Daphnia pulex: one gene and its partners. The protein of the gene in region 1 purifies or fractionates together with the protein of each later gene. This does not show direct contact. Links are inferred from orthologs where the notes say so. Each region holds a gene or a part of one and is shown in the gene's direction. Other genes may lie near its edges. The genes, in order: U2 snRNP-associated SURP motif-containing protein-like, U2 small nuclear ribonucleoprotein A'-like and calcium homeostasis endoplasmic reticulum protein-like.

Region 1 (5,039 bases):
TACTTGAAAAAACGCTTCCTCCACCACCAACCGGCTTGCCTTTTAATGCAATACCCTCCCCACAAGATATTGATCAGGTATGGCTGGTATGCAGTACCTTAGATGTTCTTTCAAACATAATTGAAATTAATATTTCCCTTGTCACAGATCCCGCCACCCGGAACACCCTACCCAACACACGGCGAGGCGTTGGAGAACTTCAACAAGGTATTGGGGGATGGGCTAAGCTATTTCAATCAACCCAGCAATATGACTGACACAAGACTCGAGACTTTTTATCCGCCTGTTCCGGCATTGTTACTCATGGTCGGCGGATAAAAAGAAGCGAGTGCTTTGTGTGCGGTCGCTTCGTTGGGAGGTCTCATCTTTTCTATTTGTGTTCTTCGGCGGAAAGCGATGAAACCCAGCCAAAAATTTGTTTTCATGCGTTGCATTCGTTTGGCTAGTGAAGACCGTTGTTCGTGTCTCACTGCTCTCATACTATTGTGTGTTTGGAAATATGTTGATGTTTCACCCGGGTTTGCTGCTTCTCTCGCAGATTATATCCAGGGCTGTTGTCAAAGTGGTTATCCCTACAGACAGGTATGTAACAAAGATCAAGCCTCATAATACCTTGAAGCTGCGCGGCTGTGTGACATTACCCTGCTCCCTCCGAGCCCCAGGGAGTATACACGTTTTGTCACGAAGGAACAACACATTGTTCTTTTCATTCTTCCAATGCGACTATTCCTTAAGTCTTATTTAATTCCTTTGTAAACTTTTAACTAACACTCGGAATGCTTGACCAAAAAAAAAAAGAAAGAAATTTTGCTTTTTCAATTGACCCACTTCTTTTAAATCATCGAACAAAATTTTTTAAGTCGGTAGCTAATCTTAACATTTTCATTTTTATCACCACGTAAATCTGTACGATTGACATTTGTGCGTGTCATACGTATGTTGAACTTGGTTTTCTGGAACTGGCGTACACAGAAATTTGTTGTGTTTGATTCATCGAATGATCGAATCTGTTGTTCGAGAGGGCCCAATGCTTGAGGCCATGGTGATGAACAAGGAAATTGATAACCAGCAATTCAGGTACCTAAATTGTCTTTTCTAAAAATGTTGTTGGATAGTAATTATTATTTCTTTTTTACTTTTGCAATCAGGTTTCTATTTGAAAACCGGAGTCCAGCTCACATTTACTATCGCTGGAAATTGTTCTCAATCCTACAAGGCGAGTCTGGTAATGTGTGGTCCACAGAAGACTTTCGCATGTTTAAAGGTAAAATTTCTTTTTATTCTGTAAATTATCCAGCGCTCATTTTTAAAAATTAATAGGCGGTTCCATCTGGAAACCCCCGTCTATGAACCCGTTTTCTGAGGGCATGCCAGACGAACTTTTCTCGTCCGACGAGGAAGATGATGAGAGTCGCCGACGATCGCTCAGCAAATCGTATTTACTACAATTATTTTTTCTAATTCATTAAGCAATTCTAATTTACGTTCAAATCCATAGTCAAAAGAAACGACTAGAATTGATGTTGAGAAAATTGACTCCTGAAAAATCCAAAGTAGCGGAAGCTATGATTTTTTGCATCGAGCACGCCGAAGCTTACGAGGAAATCATCGATTTCGTTACCGAGTCACTCAATAGTGTCAAAACCTATATTCCTCAAAAGGTAATTTAAGTCGTGACTTCCAAGTTGGAAGAAACCTACTTAATTTAATCTTGTTTTTGTTTTTTTCAGTTGGGAAGATTTTTTTTGGTATCAGACGTCCTTTACAACTCGTCTGCAAAGGCGGTCAATGCTTCCAGTTTCCGTTCGGGATTCCAGTCACACATGGTGGAAATAGTCAATTATATGCATCAAGCGTACGAGGCGACCGAGAGCCGATTGAAAGCCGAAGCTTTTCGACAACGAGTTATGCTCTGCTTTCGAGCTTGGGAAGAATGGAATGTCTATCCAGCCGAATTCCTCATTCATTTGCAAAATGTCTTTCTGGGCCTTGTCTCTGTAAGTTTTTTTTTTTTTCTATTTTTAAATCTTTCCAACACTTCATTAATTATTTTGATTTCTTTAAAGGCCGATCAAGATGTTTCTCAACGGACTTCAGGCAACGTTGAAGACGTCGACGGCATTCCACTTGACGATGCAGAAGCAATCGACGGAGCTCCACTCAGTGATTCCGAAGATTTGGATGGTTTATTTCAAATACAAGTTTTTGAAGTACAAGTAATTTAATAATTTTTTCTTTTTTCAGGTGTACCTTTGGACGGTGCGGCTCTTTTGAGGAGTGCAGTCAAACTCCAAACTAGTTCTCCAGCTCGTTCATTTACAGTTACGAAATCAAACAAATATGACGCTGATTTTGATGGAGTGCCTAGTAAAATTGATTTTTATAATAATTAATTAATTCACCTATTAAAATTTTTATAAATGTTATTAGTGTCTGAAGATTTGGACGGAGTCCCGATAAAAAGCTCGTCTTCACCGGTAGTGCGAAGAGACCGGAGACGTGAAACTAAGTCATCATCAACTTCCAAATGGGAAACACCGGCGCCGGTTGTAGCCACTAGCAAGTGGGACAATATCGACCCCGATTCAGAGTCAAATGAGCCGTCAAGAAAAAAGAGTAGAGCCAAACATAATGAGGACATCTTTGCGGATCTGGAGAGCACTAAACAAAGAGGAGCTGCTTCAGATGAAGATCTCGACGGTGCGCCCCTTGACTCGTCACCAGAGGCAACGCGACACAGCTCCGGTTCTAGGTAGTAATTGTTAATTACAATACATTTTGCTTGACCGACTCCCAATTTTGTCTGAATGTTTTAGGAATGAGGATCAACGTGGGAAACTGCGAGAGCTTGAACTGAAAGTCGTTCGCTACCAAGATGAACTCGAAGCCGGACTACATAATCAGATTCCGGGCATGTCAGTTTCAGAACAAGTTCAACAATACCGCGAACATCTTTTACGCAAGGTTAAAAAGAATAGATTCTTTATATCTAATACTTGGTATAAATTGGCGATGTTAATCACTGGTTCCCTTCTTTGATTTCGTGTTACAGTCAAAACGGGATCGTTCCCAAGAAACAGTTGACGGTCGAGATCGCGAATCTAGAGAACGGCGCACGCCTCACAGTACCGAGAAATCAGATCGTGGTTCTGGTCGACAGGCAACTGACAGGGAACGTTATAAAGAAAAAGATAGACGACGTTCAATTTCCAGATCAAGGTCTCGTTCCAGATCGCCAAGAAAGTAAGTCGAAACTTCGTTTGACATTTGAACACGCCCAAATTTGACATTTGACCCCACCCCAAATGAATGATTTGTTGGCCATCCGTGTAATTATGCTGCCTTTAGGTCATCGCGATCAAAACGAACGAGATCATCGAGGTCGTCCAGTCCGAGTCACACTTTACGAAGAACCCCCCGGAGGTATGATGATTCATCCGCAGCGTGTCGATAGATTTCGTGATTAAAAGGACTGCTGCGTGCAGAGTCCTTTTATAGCGTTTACCGAATACTACCATTACTACTACTACTACTAAATGGATGATGATTACATTTTATAGGTCAAGATCAAAAAGCGATGACTCGTCGAAACGATCTCGCCGCTCTCGAAGCCGTTCGACTTCTCCACGAAGGCCGTCTAAGAACCAGAAGAAATCCAAAAATTTGAAATGAAACGATTCGACTGCTGTTTGGTGGTGCAGTTTTCCAAATTTCGTGTTCCCTCGGATGTTGTTCAACTTTTGCTTTTTTTGGTATTCAATACAATCTGCCTTCTAGCGGTATCCAACAGCCGTCGTTTCGTGGCCAGTTGTCGTATAGACCGATCGGGAATTCGACTGTTTACCCCTGCGTGCCCCTGTGTGTGTGTGTGGGAGCAAATACCTGGTTAACGAGACGAACCTGGTCGGCGGTCGTTGGCCGGGACGACGTCCTCGTTTTTAAATCCCTCTCACACTTATACGTGAACGCACTTGGGACGCGTCACAGATGTTTACGCTGTCTGCAGTTGAAGTCCGAGCCGGGCAACACAACTCTGGCCTTGCTGCTCACCTACTTCCACACATGGATCTATATTGTTTTTGCTTTTTCCCAGGTTTCGTATACTAGTGAGTCTCTCCAAAAATAGAGGTTATGTGCAAATCACCCTTCGGAGAATGACACACACGTCTCTACCACATTCTGGCCACACACACACACACATACACACCAGATGGTATCACACACAAGTAAACGAGGGCGAGGAGCACACACAACAAACGGAAAAGAATACAGTTTGGAATCGCTTATGTTTCAGCAAATGGTGGAATTTTTTTTTATTGTTACAGCCACAGGAAACCGAGACAAACAAGAAAATAATAAAAATTAAAAATAAAAAAAATAAGAAAAGAGGGCAAGGAAGAAAAAAAAAATCGGTGGGGTTCTGCCACAGGAAGAATCCGCCACCGAAGAAGAGGGATTTTTTTTCTCAAATTGGCAGAGCAAAGGAAAAAATAGTTTGGATACTGATACACACACAAACACGCGCGCGCGAATCTTTTATTATTTCTTAATTGCAAAAGGGGAGCACAGTTTGATGACGAAAATAAGAAGATGGTACAAGAGGACCCATTAGTAATATAAGAAAAAAGAAAAAAAAAGAAGTCTCGGTTACGATGCATTCCATGGCTGGAATAAGTGAAAAAAAAAGAGGAGCTATAAAGGGGGGATTGGGCGGGCACGTGAAGCTGTAGAGAGAGAGAGAGAGAGAGATAAAGGAGGGAGGGGCGCTAGAAGTTGCTTTCCAGCTGAAGAAGATCAGTGAACCCAACAGGAAGAAGAGCTAACGATCTAAACAAACAGTTGGAAGGTGTGACATGTAAGCTAGACGAGGGGGGAGGAAAGCCGGTTGGAAATTTTCAATGTCGAGTGGTGAGGACATGAGTGACGTTGTGGTAGTAGTTTATCGAGTCGTCGCTACTATTTGAAACTAAACTTTCAGACATTTGCCATGCCTGTATACAACCACAGCGGCCCATCCAAAAATATATCTGATTACCCCG
Region 2 (5,403 bases), on another chromosome or scaffold:
GAAGATTATTAAACAAGGACCAGATCTCAGACCTAAAAATTCTAGGAGGACAGAACCTTCCGTGTTTGGTATGTTTAAAATGAGCTTGTTGGTATTTTTAAACAGACAGTGGATTGACTTCTTTTATGATTAATAAAGGTTGTACTGCAATCAATACAAGATGGATATAGATCGTGTCTCGCATAATAGAGAAGGAGTAAACGATTCATTCAACATTATGATTCGACGTAAATTAAAGGAGAACAACTTCAAAGCAGTGCTGAAAACATCCTAGACTTAAACACGGATTCTTGACTACGATGACACAGGAGCGGCCCACTACTCCAAAATGACCAATCAAATTCCAGTATTGGATTTCAACGACACATTCTTACTTTACTTAGTTTTCAGAACCCGCATAACGGAGAAATTAATTTAAATATTCCACGGACATAAAATTGTCCAATACAATTTTCCGGTAAAAAACTTCCCCTACAAATCCTAAGAATTTGCAACTATGTTGGGATGGATTGGTGCAAATATGCAAACATTCGTACAATTATTTTGTCTTAATTTCATATCTTCTCCTATCTAGCTCATTCCATATTGGCTATAACATTTTTCTATCTTGAATATTAGCTACAACTGTGATGTTTCAAGGTAAACGTACTCTGCCTATCTTGCCTTCTGAAAACTACCTACTTAAATAAGAATACAACTGTTGGAAAATTTAAAATGGCAAAAAACTTAAACGAAGTAAATAGATAGCAAAATATGCATTTTTTCCAAGTAGATTTTATTGAAAAATCAGGTCATCTCTTTTTTAATTTTTAAAAGCTATGTAGAACTTTCCGGGTCCATGTAAAGTTCTTGGTTGCGTCGTTTAAATTTCTTTACGGTAGTAGGTACATCTTGATCATCTACTTTAGCACTTGAATCGTTTTCATCCAAAATCCCTCCTAAGGGAGCTTCCTTTTCCGCAGTATGTGGTTCTTCCTCATGTGTTTCATTTTGCGGCTGCGGTAAACTCATTTTACTTCTCTTCAGCGGTTTGGTATCGACAAAGAATATACCATTGTCCTGCCCAGCTACCTCCTCAGTATGGTCACCTGTCTCTTCTTCTTCATCGTCATCTTCAAGAGCAATTTCGTCTGGATTAACTACGGGAGCAGTGAGGATAATCGGTTTCCCAATCAATTTTTCGAGGGGATCGTCGATACCAAGCTTTTCGCAAAATTGTGTAGTTTGAGGATTCAATTGCGCTTGTGCTTGCTGAGCATTTCTGTTGTAATTTGGTCGAGGCTTAAATGGTTCAGCAGTTAAGGAGAAATTTGACGGAATTTTGTAGTCGTTGTCAAAGATAGTTTTCACTTGTTCTATTTCTTCTTCGTTTGGATTAAAGTTCCATCTTACATAAAAAAAGGTCAGCATCCATAAAAATAAAAACTAATGCTTTTGTGTCACCTTTCAGTGCATCCAGGACCTCCACTTGGCATGTACTGAGTAGTTGGACGAACACTCATTAAATGGTTAGTTGACCGAAGAATTGCTAACCAATGCGGATCATAACACAACTCCAAATTTTGGGTGGAATCATGTGGAATTTCCACCAACTTTTAGATATACCCAACAGTTAAATTGTTAAATTTTTCGAGAATATTCTGAATTAAATCTTACTTCAAGGTACTGACGTCTTGGAAGACACTTATCAAGTGCTAGAAATTGAGTTGATTGTTTTTCATTATGTTGGATTGTAGCAGCAAACCTACAATGAAGGTGGGCAGCAAACCAATGTTTAGGCTTCAATTCGTGAAGTAATGTTTCTCCAGCTTGACTTCCCAATACATTTTGGGCTATCTCATCACTGGAAGGGGAAAGAAAGAAATGTGTAAATTGAATTGTGTTTTGGAACAATTAGGTAACACTATTTCAAACCGAAAGAATGGTTTCCAATGCAGAAGTTCTCTGGTATCTGCATAATTGTAGACACCACGAGGCCAATCATGTGAAATAAAAATATCTATGTCTTCTTTTAACTGAAAATTAAAAGACATTTAAGTTTTTAATCTTTAAAACAATCAAAATGTAATTACCTGTTTCAAGCGAAATACTTCAAGACTACGAACATGATAAGCTGATCTCATAGTGCTGTTTGTGTAGGGAGGTTTTTCAAAATGTCCTTTCAAGTAATCATGTCCTTTAAAGATGCCTGATATTCCCGCTATTCTGATGCCACCAAACTTGACTACACCAGCATAGCCAAGATAATATATATTTGGAGCAACCCAGCCTCCATATGCAAGTTCTTGTAGATAGTTTGATGCTTCATGATTGCCTCCAATGAAAATAGTTAAAATTGGTGCTTTCAATTCACCATTATAATACCTGATATTGAAAAAAACAGTAACAATTACAATAAACTCTTATTTGTCTAAAACAATTATAAATAAATACTTGTAGAATGTACAGATATGACGGAATTTGTCAGGTACTGCCATGCATTGTAAGTCACTTTCGTTTCGAACAGCTTGAAAATCTCCACAACAGATGAGCAAATCAACTTTGACATTTCTTTGCCTCGCCAAATTCTCGACAGACCGGTAAATTTGATCAAGTTCACCATGAGCGCACCCTTCAACAGCAATAATCATGTTTTATACTGTCTTTAACTTGATATTTTAAGATAAATGTCAAATGCTGTTTCAAAGTTGATAACTTGCTTTCAAGTTACAACACAAACTCAATATTTTGAAGTTGTTTACAGTTTTACTGGAAGCCGAATCGTTCGTGGCTATTGTCGTCTGCTTAAAACCTAGCGGCAAAAACACAGCCATTTTCATATATTTTCTAACGTTTATAATTTTTTTTAATTTTGTTGACAAATTTAAATACTTTAGTTTAGAAAAGTATTTATATTTCAAGATAAAAAGCTACAGATGCACAAAACCTTTGATAAAACTTTAGTTTGAAAAGTTAATTTCCTGTTTGGAAATGTATTCGGAAATGAGTTGCAACATCGCACATGGCGTCACTTAGATATCCCTAGATTTGTCAACTACAAACGTGCAAAAACATTTTGTTCAAGTTTTAATTGCATCTTTTCCCAAATTCAATTACGTGTTTAAGGTTTAAAAAGCCAAAAAGAAAATGGTGAAGTTGACGGCTGAGGTCATTCACTTGAGCCACCAGTACACGAATGCCATCAAAGAAAGAGAACTAGATTTAAGAGGTATGTAACCGGCGTTCAGCTTCAATCTCATTCAGTCAGTTACTAAAGTTCAAAAGTTTTTTGTGTTGGCTTAAAAAAAGTGATGTAATTGTAAAAATATTTCGTGAAAATACAGCTATTTTTTGTCATCATTTTAGGTTACAAGATTCCTGTAATTGAAAACCTAGGAGCAACTTTAGTAAGTAAATTTGTAGTGTAATCATGCTGAACAGTTACTGGAGTGTTTTCTTTTTTCAGGATCAGTTTGACACAATAGATTTTTCAGATAATGACATAAGGAAATTGGATGGTTTTCCCTTGCTGAGACGAATTAAAAGTCTTCTCCTAAACAACAACAGAATCTTGTAAGTTTTTTGTTGTATTATTCACAAATTTAATTTCATGCAAATGATTCTTTAAAATCTGTAGACGCATTGCTGATGGATTAGGTGAAGTCATTCCAAACCTCGAAACCCTTGTCCTGACAAATAATCATCTGCAAGAGTTGGGCGACCTTGACCCATTAGCAGAATTCTCTAAACTCACCTATTTAAGTCTACTGAGCAATCCTGTTGCAAATAAGCAACATTATCGTTCATATGTGATAAACAAGTTGCCAAGCCTGAGGGTGTTGGATTTTCGTAAAGTAAAACTTAAGGTAATAATGTTCTACCTGACATCAGGAATTTTCCTCCTTATTCATGTAAAACTTGATTTGAAGGAGAGAGAAGCCGCCCGAGACCTATTCAAATCAAAGAAAGGAAAAGTATTGGCGAAAGAAATCGCCCAGAAAAGCAAGTTTCTTTCAGCTGAAGCGGGAAATAAGGCACCGATAGGTAAAAAACACAAATGTTTTGTTTTGTTAGCCTAAGAAATGTTATTAAATTATTTTGTGTAGGTGGTGCATCTGCGGAGGAGGCTCGTGCAATCCGAGAAGCTGTTGCTAATGCCTCCACCTTGGAAGAGGTAGAACGTCTAAACCAAATGTTGAGGGCAGGTGTCGTACCTGGAAAAGCCACCCAAGGCTCCAGCAAAAACGGAAATGCAAATGGTAAATTCACATCCTGTCTTCAACTTCCTTGTTTCGTTTGTTAAAACTTTTGAATTGTTGTAGGTGAAGATATGGAGGAGGAAGAAGATGAACCCATGGAGAAATGACAATGCCATCACGGGTAAAAATTAATTTGTATCAAGCTGTTAATGTGAATGTGGGACTACACTTTGATAATAAAAATATCGCTACCCTAGAGTAAATAAGGTAGCAGAAAGATATTTTTGAAATTACAAATTGCCCGTCTAATTTGTGTCACAGTTAAAAGACCGAGAAGCGATTAAATTTGGTCATTTTAACAAAACTGTGTTGTGAAAAATGCGTAGCGAAACCAATTTTCAGTCATAGAATTAGATATGCTACATAGTGTGTATATCCTACGTGTATTCGGAAGAGGCTCATCTGCCATTTGCGGAATGAGTCATGCATAGAAGGCGGATGTGGGGGTGTGCGTTATTTTCAGCCGGACATGACGGGTTAGGAGTAGCTTGGAAACTGTAGACGATCTAATTTAGAGCGTTTCGTGTCCTTTCATTAACGAGCGTGCCCGTGCGTAAGTTTCGTTGTTTTGAGTAAGATTTTTGGCGCCCACTCCTATTTTTCCCGATACCACATCCGGAATATCATGAGCTAACACCGCCATGATGATGTGATAATGGCAGCAAACTTGGTTTGTAGGTTACAACTTACAGCTATACGAAAATCCAGAACTGATCGTTTTAAGTTCAAAATTCTACTAATATTTACAAATAAATCATTAGTATTTGATAATATCCAATACCATCGTTGGAGTCTTCACCGATAAAAAATGTGTTGAATGAATACAGCATAATTCGTTAGTACATGGAAGATATCGGGTTTTCTCTTACAGATAAGTAACAAGAAAAAAAACAAGAAACTTTTCTTATTTTTTTTTTATGTGGTGTTGGCTTAAGGTTGTAAGAAAGCTACAAATTTGAGAGAGAGCCGAGTTTTAAGCTTTTTCGACAGTGAATGGGCGGGGCTTATGTTAGTCGTCTGCTATTCGTTTGTACTCTTGTGGCTCTCTATTCTCGAAAGACTTGACGCACAGTGAAAGCTGAACAGTCAGTGGTGTTTCATTCGTGGCTTGAGTAAGACACGAAGAAAGGTTTGTGTTACACCAAAGAGGAGATTAACAAATCTA
Region 3 (6,340 bases), about 5.3 Mb from region 1:
CCAAAAGCGAGCAATGGAAGCACCCCCTCTATACTTGCGGGCATTATATAGCGTCGTCGTCGCTCTCATCCATCGGAATCGCAAATATAGGAGGGGCCACGCCGACGCTATTCCGCCGACGTCTTGACTTGCGCAATGCCAACCCGGCAGAGGGGAAGCAAAAGGGGGGGGGGGGAGAAAAAGACAAGAAATAATCTCCTTTTTACGCCGTGGAGAGGGGGAGAACGAATCCGCACATTCATCATTGCGACGGATCAATTTGAGCTCAACTCGATCCGGCAGTAAAAGAAAAATTCTCTAAGGAGGGGAGGGGGGGGGGGCGGAAATTTTTCGATAACAATTGCATTACTTCCTCATTAATGTCAGAAATCTCTCTCAAACGGAAATGAACGCTAAATTAAAGCTAGGCGGAAGAAGAAGAAAAGCAGGATGTCGGTTTGGGTTTGGATGGATATTTGACTTTACCTCGGCGTCGGTCGGAGCTGCTGACGAGGAGGGATGCTGGTGGGTCACGGGGATGACGAATCCGCCGGGCGGGGCGGAATTGACCGCGGTGATGGGTCGCTGATCCATCGGACACGAATCGGACCCTTGTTGTTGATGTCCCTGCTGGAGGAATTCGCGCACCTGGCGCTTCCGCGATTCGATGACGTGGTAGAGTGTCGGATTCTCCAGCCGGGTGCGCACCGTCAAAACTTGCGGCGGAACCGACACGGGTTCCATCACGCTCGGCTGTTGCTGAGGCGGGACGATGATGGGAATCCCCAGTTTCTCAGAAGGGCAACTGGCCGCCCTTCCGGCGGATTGGTGGAGTTTGATTAGTTCGCGCTCGCGACGCTCCTGCTGCTCCAGTTGTTGTCGCTGAAGTTGCTGTTTCAATTGGGTCCGTGACGGTTGGGTCGTCGGGGACGAGCGCGGATGCGGTGGACGTCCTGTGACCCGATCCGGCTGTAGCGGATAAGGTGGCGGTGGTTGCTTGATTGTTTCCTGAATCGCCGATTGAATATTGCCAGGCTGCTGTTCCCAAATGAATGGATCACTTTCGAGGATCATTGCCAATTCGTCGTCGATGCCAGGGCCTTTTGTCCTGTGGCACGTGGAAGTGCCCGGACTGGATTGGACTGACGACAGGGGGCTCGGCGACGGTGTTTGGAACGGCGTTGCATAAGGGCTGACGTAGGGCGAATGGTAAGGCGTTTGGTAAGGCGTCAGTCCGCCAGGATAGGGCGGAGGAGGAGCCTGACGTGGACTAAGGTAGTTGCTGGACTGGTAGATTCCGCCTTGACCGGATATGGCGTTGGGCCCGGACATGGTCACCGTGATGCTGGTATCTGATCGAGCACCACCAGCACAAGTGTAGTTGGGCTGTTCCAGTAACAAACTGCACCCGATGGCACTTAGATCCATGAATTTAGTCTCGTCGTTCAATTCCGCTTTGACTGACATGGTCGTCCGAGCGGAATCCGAGCCTTCCCGGCAGCCAATGTGGCACAACGCATGCCTCGTCTCACGATTCAGCTATCGTCTGCCAGACTCGCATCTCATTCCTCTCACTCCGCAACGTCGGAATACGAAGTTGATTGAAGGTCAACTTTTTTTCAAAAAAGGGCTCGTGTTTTGGCATATGAATCAAACACAACACCCAACCATCTCGGCGCCATTCGACGAGCTACTGGACCTCCCTCCGGATCTCTGAAAATCGAGTGGAAGAAATAAAATGTTGTTTTGAATGATTTGGATCAAATTGAAACGAAAGAGCACTTTACACAATCAGTCAAAAATATTTTGGGTTATTTCATTTCCACTTGAACAAATACACTTATTTCGATTCACACACAATCTGTCGAATTCTTTCCAACGCCAACGACTTTTTTCCTCCAATTATTTTAATATTAGAACAAGGAAGAAGATTTTGTATGCGGCCGATTTGCTCACGACCCGATCGCCGACTAACTTTGCCCACGAAAAACTGGCAAATTTGTTTGTTTTTAGTTTGAATTTTTCTTTTTCCTACACGACGCGCTTCTCATTTTCTTTCTGGTCTGGTGTTCGCCCTTTTTTTCGCAGTTGCTTCCAAATATTTTAAAACTTGGCTCAAGTTGGATGCAGTGTGCTACTATTTTGGGCGCCATACACACACACTCGCATACACACACACACACACACACACACTGCTGATGTATATTATTGGCATTCGCAGCCGCCCACTCAAGCTATTATGTTACCCGAACGGTCGAGAACGGAAATAGGAAGAAGAACAGGCGAAAAAAATGGTCTTCCACTGGTCATCATTGCCCCGAAACACTGTCATATTAAAAAAGAGGTAGTTCATCTGGGACAAAGAGTTATGATATTTGGTGTGTCTTTTGTTGCGACACATCGTTCGATTGGGACCCTGCCAAGAACGCATTTTGAAATAGCGAAGAAAAAGCGAACTGTCCGTTTGAGAGTTGATGTATCTATTCATGTGTGCTACTGCTGTAATTGTTGGTTGACCGATTACTTTGCGTGTGATGACACGACCTGCAGCGCGAGAGAGAGAGTCAGACTCCCCCCCAGCGAGACGAGGAAAGAGATTGGAACTTAACGCGTCAACACATCATATCAACCTTTAATTATGTGGAAAACGAGTTTGAATTACAAAGAAGCATATACTCATAAATATGGAAAGCTGCATTCGATGTATACAAACAAGAAATTTTTCCCCAATTGAAATTCTTGTCACACGTTAGGGAATTTACTATTCGCACCGAACTTCACGCCATCTAGTTTAGCAAAAACGCACCGTTTACTAGACTCTGGCGGAATTCAACACGAACTATTAATGCCGGCATCGAAACAATTCACAGTTGCATATGTATGTGTGTTTTTGATTGCCTAAAGTTTAATTAAAGTTTTAAAACATAAAACTCTGCAATGGATCTACCTCGTCCTCCCGAAGGTAATAACCGTTTAAATTGAAAAATCTCCTCATCAATTTGTTCACAACAAATATTTTTATAGACATAGAACTGCGCAACATTATTGACAAGTTAGCTCAATTTGTGGCGAGAAATGGTCCCGAATTTGAGCAAATGACGAAAAACAAACAACGAGATAACCCCAAGTTTGGTTTCCTGTTTGGTGGGGAACTTTTCAACTACTACCAGTACCGTGTGACAACAGAGCAAGCAATTAACAAGCAAAAGTTTGTCCGAGAGCAAAGTCAACCCATGAGCTATCCAATCAACTATGGCCCACCGCCTAATACAGAACATCCCAGTTTCAATAGGAATTACAACTATGGCCCTTCTTCTGCATGGCCTAGGGCTCACCCACAGCCATCAATGCCCAATCAGATGTCATTTCCTGGACAAAATCCCATCCCTCCTCAAACAGATTTGATTGCTTTAAAAGGTGCAAAAGATGTACTCGTTGCCCAACAAACTCAACTGCAGGAACAGGTAAACATACTCCAGATCATATCAAAAATAGTAAATACTAATTGGTTTGGTTCACCAGATCAAACAAAGTGAAAGCAACTTGGCCGCTCAACATCAAGTGACAGTGCAACAGCAGAAAAAGCAGACAGAGGAAACAGTCAAGTTGCAACACGAAAAAGAAGTCATGGAAAAAGCGTTGGCAAGTGGAATGAATTTGGCAGAGTTAGAATTGCTTTTACTGCCTATCATGGATTCTTGCACCAAAGAATCCATATCTCAGGGTAAAGCTTGGATTCTCCATCATGTGATGCAGCCTCATTCATCCTCTGATGCCATAGCACAATATCTCCTTTTCAAAACAACTCAAAGCAGTAAGTTTTCCTCTGTTGTGGCTACTTGGCATTGCCTGAGCATTTTTTTTTCTTTCTGAATCAACAGGTCAATTTACCCACAAACTTCACTTGATCTATTTGGTCAACGACGTGTTACACCATTGTCTCCGCAAAGGACCCGACACGCTTTTAAAGACACTCGAACAAGTTGTCGTCCACATGTTTTCAAACACTAGTCTGTCTGCAACCGACGAGGAGCAAAACGCCAAATTGCAAAAACTGGTCGTTTTGTGGCAAACGAAAAATAATTTGTTTGAGCGTGGTGTCCTGGAAAGGTTACACGCACCTTTACACATCTGGAATGAATACCACAACAGTCTAGTGGCCAAATACTCGGCAGCCGTAGCAGCTTCAACTAGCAACATTCAGCATACGTACGAAAACTACCGCGGCCAGCATCAAGCCTTCGTCAATCATGCCAACCACCAGATTCAGCAGCTAGAGCAACAGAAACTGCAAATTGAAGAACAAATCGCGGCGGCCAATGCTTTGCAGTCTTTTAATGCACCTCATCACGCCATGCCGCCGGATTTCTTATCTCGCCCGCCGCCAGTTGCTTCCCTTAATGCCCCGCAAAACTACCCGTGTGAAGGAATTGAACCAAAGGCTCCCTACTTCGACTTACCAGCGGGATTACTCGTCCCACTGGTGAGAATGGAAGACAGCGAGTACAAAAGCATCGATCCGAAAGATATCCGCCTTCCTGCACCGCTCCCACCGTCTGAGCGATTGATTGCCGCCATTGATTTCTTCTACAGTCCTCTCTCGCACGACCGACCACGAAACGCAGATGGGTTCGTGATAGATTTCCTTTCTTGTTGGCTTATCATTCAAGCTTCTTCTTCTCAACTTTTCTCTTTCTTGTTTTTTTTTTTAGGTGGGAGCAGATGGCTCTTTTCGAGTTTTATAAGAACAAGGCAACTGCGAAAAAGAAGAAAGAAGAAGATATTGCTCAGGGATTACGCGACATGTCGCCGCCTCGAACTCCTATCGAAGTTGTCGAGGATCATTCCCCTGAAAGAAGTGGTAAGAATGGAATCAGAAGTCCCGTGCGTCGAAGATTCCGCAGTGAGTCGCCCGAGGAAGAGCATAGAGAAGAATCGAGGCAAGCTCGATCACGATCCAGATCGCCTAGAAATTCAACAAGACGTCGCCGAAGTCGATCTAATTCAGAGTCGCCCCGTCGAGCTGCACGCTCTCGTTCTCCTACACCTAGTCGTTCGGAATCAAGATCTAATTCGCCCGTCACGATGACCGGTTTTGCGCAAAAGCGGAGCCCCACGCCACCTTCAGAAATGTAACCAACCCCTTTTTTTTCCTTAAGTTAGGTCAATGTGATTTGGTTAAATTTGATTCGGCGTTTTGCAGTGCATCCGTGTCGTTTGCCAAAGGTTTCACGACAAAGCTGGACGAAAACAACCGAGGGCATCAACTCTTGTGCAAAATGGGTTGGGGAGGAGCTGGACTCGGCGCAAATGAACAAGGCATAGCGGAACCCATCAAAGGAGGAGAGGTATTGATCGAACGGTACTATTTTTGTGTCAACAGAATAGCGGATTGATATTTTTCGTTCTTCAGGTTCGCGATCGTTTGGACCAGTTCAAAGGTGTCGGTATCAATATACGTGATCCTTTTGAAAATTTCCGAAAAAGCAAAGGTCAGGCGTTCATCACGAGAATGCGCTCAAGGGCCGAAGAACGAGAAAAAGAAAAGGGCGGACCTGACGATCCTCCAACTCCATGAGAATTCACTCACTCTACTTTTGCTTAACTCACGAAATACAGTCGATTCGTCTATACCTTGATATCCGTTTAATGGTGACCTGAACAAGTAAGGGGGAACAGCTGTTTGACCAATTCTTCAGCGTTGACTGTAAATTCACTTTCGTCGTTTGTAGTACCAACCTAAGAAATATTAGATTGATTAAAAAAAATCGAGTCAATATAATCATGCACGCAATTTTACCATGATGGATCGAAAACCTGGGCGTGTTAAAGTCCGTCTAGACACCATGCTATGTAAAGTTAACCAAACGGACCCCGAGTGATATTTGGCTATGGCGACCAAGTTGTCCTTTGCTAAACTCTAAACAACAAACACGATACTCAATAGGATATTATTAAGAGCATAAGGAAGAATAGTTGCAAACCTGAAGTTCTGAAATCTGTTGGTTGCTGAGGTACAAAGAAATCGCTTGAACGATTTTACAAACTTCCAATACAGGTGGATCGATGAATTCAACTAGGGTGGCCATGGCGGATAGTACGGATTTTTGTAATTTGTACGACTGGCTGGCAATGTGCGCTCTGCTAGATCGGCCACGACTAGCAGTAGCCTGGCTTTGCAGGAATAGCACCAATTTATGAAGAATTTCTTTGACAGCTCGATGGCGAATAAAATCTGGGCAGCGACGAACTAATGAAAGGAAAATCTCAAACGCCTGCCTCTGTTTGAGATGTGATGTTCCCAACAGCTGATTCTTTAAAGGCTCCCAAAGTTTGTGCACTTTCGGCAAAAAAATATCTT

The links.
Region 2: the proteins of U2 snRNP-associated SURP motif-containing protein-like (region 1) and U2 small nuclear ribonucleoprotein A'-like purify together in Homo sapiens (affinity purification with mass spectrometry; 5 studies listed by BioGRID and IntAct, with this or other methods). This does not show direct contact. The link is inferred for Daphnia pulex from reciprocal best matches to the Homo sapiens genes U2SURP and SNRPA1.
Region 3: the proteins of U2 snRNP-associated SURP motif-containing protein-like (region 1) and calcium homeostasis endoplasmic reticulum protein-like purify together in Homo sapiens (affinity purification with mass spectrometry; 4 studies listed by BioGRID and IntAct, with this or other methods). This does not show direct contact. The link is inferred for Daphnia pulex from reciprocal best matches to the Homo sapiens genes U2SURP and CHERP.

The regions. Positions count from the first base shown.
Region 1 is NC_060023.1:3,574,060-3,579,098, forward strand, and holds the end of U2 snRNP-associated SURP motif-containing protein-like, read left to right. Parts: coding exon 1-77; intron 78-147; coding exon 148-207; intron 208-538; coding exon 539-582; intron 583-972; coding exon 973-1,077; intron 1,078-1,148; coding exon 1,149-1,264; intron 1,265-1,320; coding exon 1,321-1,435; intron 1,436-1,498; coding exon 1,499-1,661; intron 1,662-1,730; coding exon 1,731-1,997; intron 1,998-2,066; coding exon 2,067-2,184; intron 2,185-2,244; coding exon 2,245-2,367; intron 2,368-2,430; coding exon 2,431-2,752; intron 2,753-2,816; coding exon 2,817-2,964; intron 2,965-3,052; coding exon 3,053-3,243; intron 3,244-3,348; coding exon 3,349-3,423; intron 3,424-3,560; coding exon 3,561-3,672; 3' UTR 3,673-3,782; downstream 3,783-5,039.
Region 2 is NC_060021.1:10,325,330-10,330,732, reverse strand, and holds U2 small nuclear ribonucleoprotein A'-like, read left to right. Parts: upstream 1-2,983; 5' UTR 2,984-3,126; coding exon 3,127-3,208; intron 3,209-3,345; coding exon 3,346-3,386; intron 3,387-3,445; coding exon 3,446-3,552; intron 3,553-3,616; coding exon 3,617-3,845; intron 3,846-3,908; coding exon 3,909-4,023; intron 4,024-4,085; coding exon 4,086-4,238; intron 4,239-4,301; coding exon 4,302-4,345; 3' UTR 4,346-4,475; downstream 4,476-5,403. Other genes in the region: lariat debranching enzyme B-like, read right to left, coding at 817-1,387, 1,444-1,592, 1,657-1,843, 1,915-2,015, 2,073-2,364, 2,434-2,630. UniProt on the Homo sapiens protein: Involved in pre-mRNA splicing as component of the spliceosome. Associated with sn-RNP U2, where it contributes to the binding of stem loop IV of U2 snRNA.
Region 3 is NC_060023.1:8,901,000-8,907,339, forward strand, and holds calcium homeostasis endoplasmic reticulum protein-like, read left to right. Parts: upstream 1-2,802; 5' UTR 2,803-2,916; coding exon 2,917-2,941; intron 2,942-3,003; coding exon 3,004-3,443; intron 3,444-3,501; coding exon 3,502-3,793; intron 3,794-3,860; coding exon 3,861-4,608; intron 4,609-4,691; coding exon 4,692-5,111; intron 5,112-5,182; coding exon 5,183-5,327; intron 5,328-5,392; coding exon 5,393-5,557; 3' UTR 5,558-5,612; downstream 5,613-6,340. Other genes in the region: uncharacterized protein LOC124197929, read right to left, coding at 466-1,446; TELO2-interacting protein 1 homolog, read right to left, coding at 5,626-5,718, 5,780-5,899, 5,964-6,340. UniProt on the Homo sapiens protein: Involved in calcium homeostasis, growth and proliferation.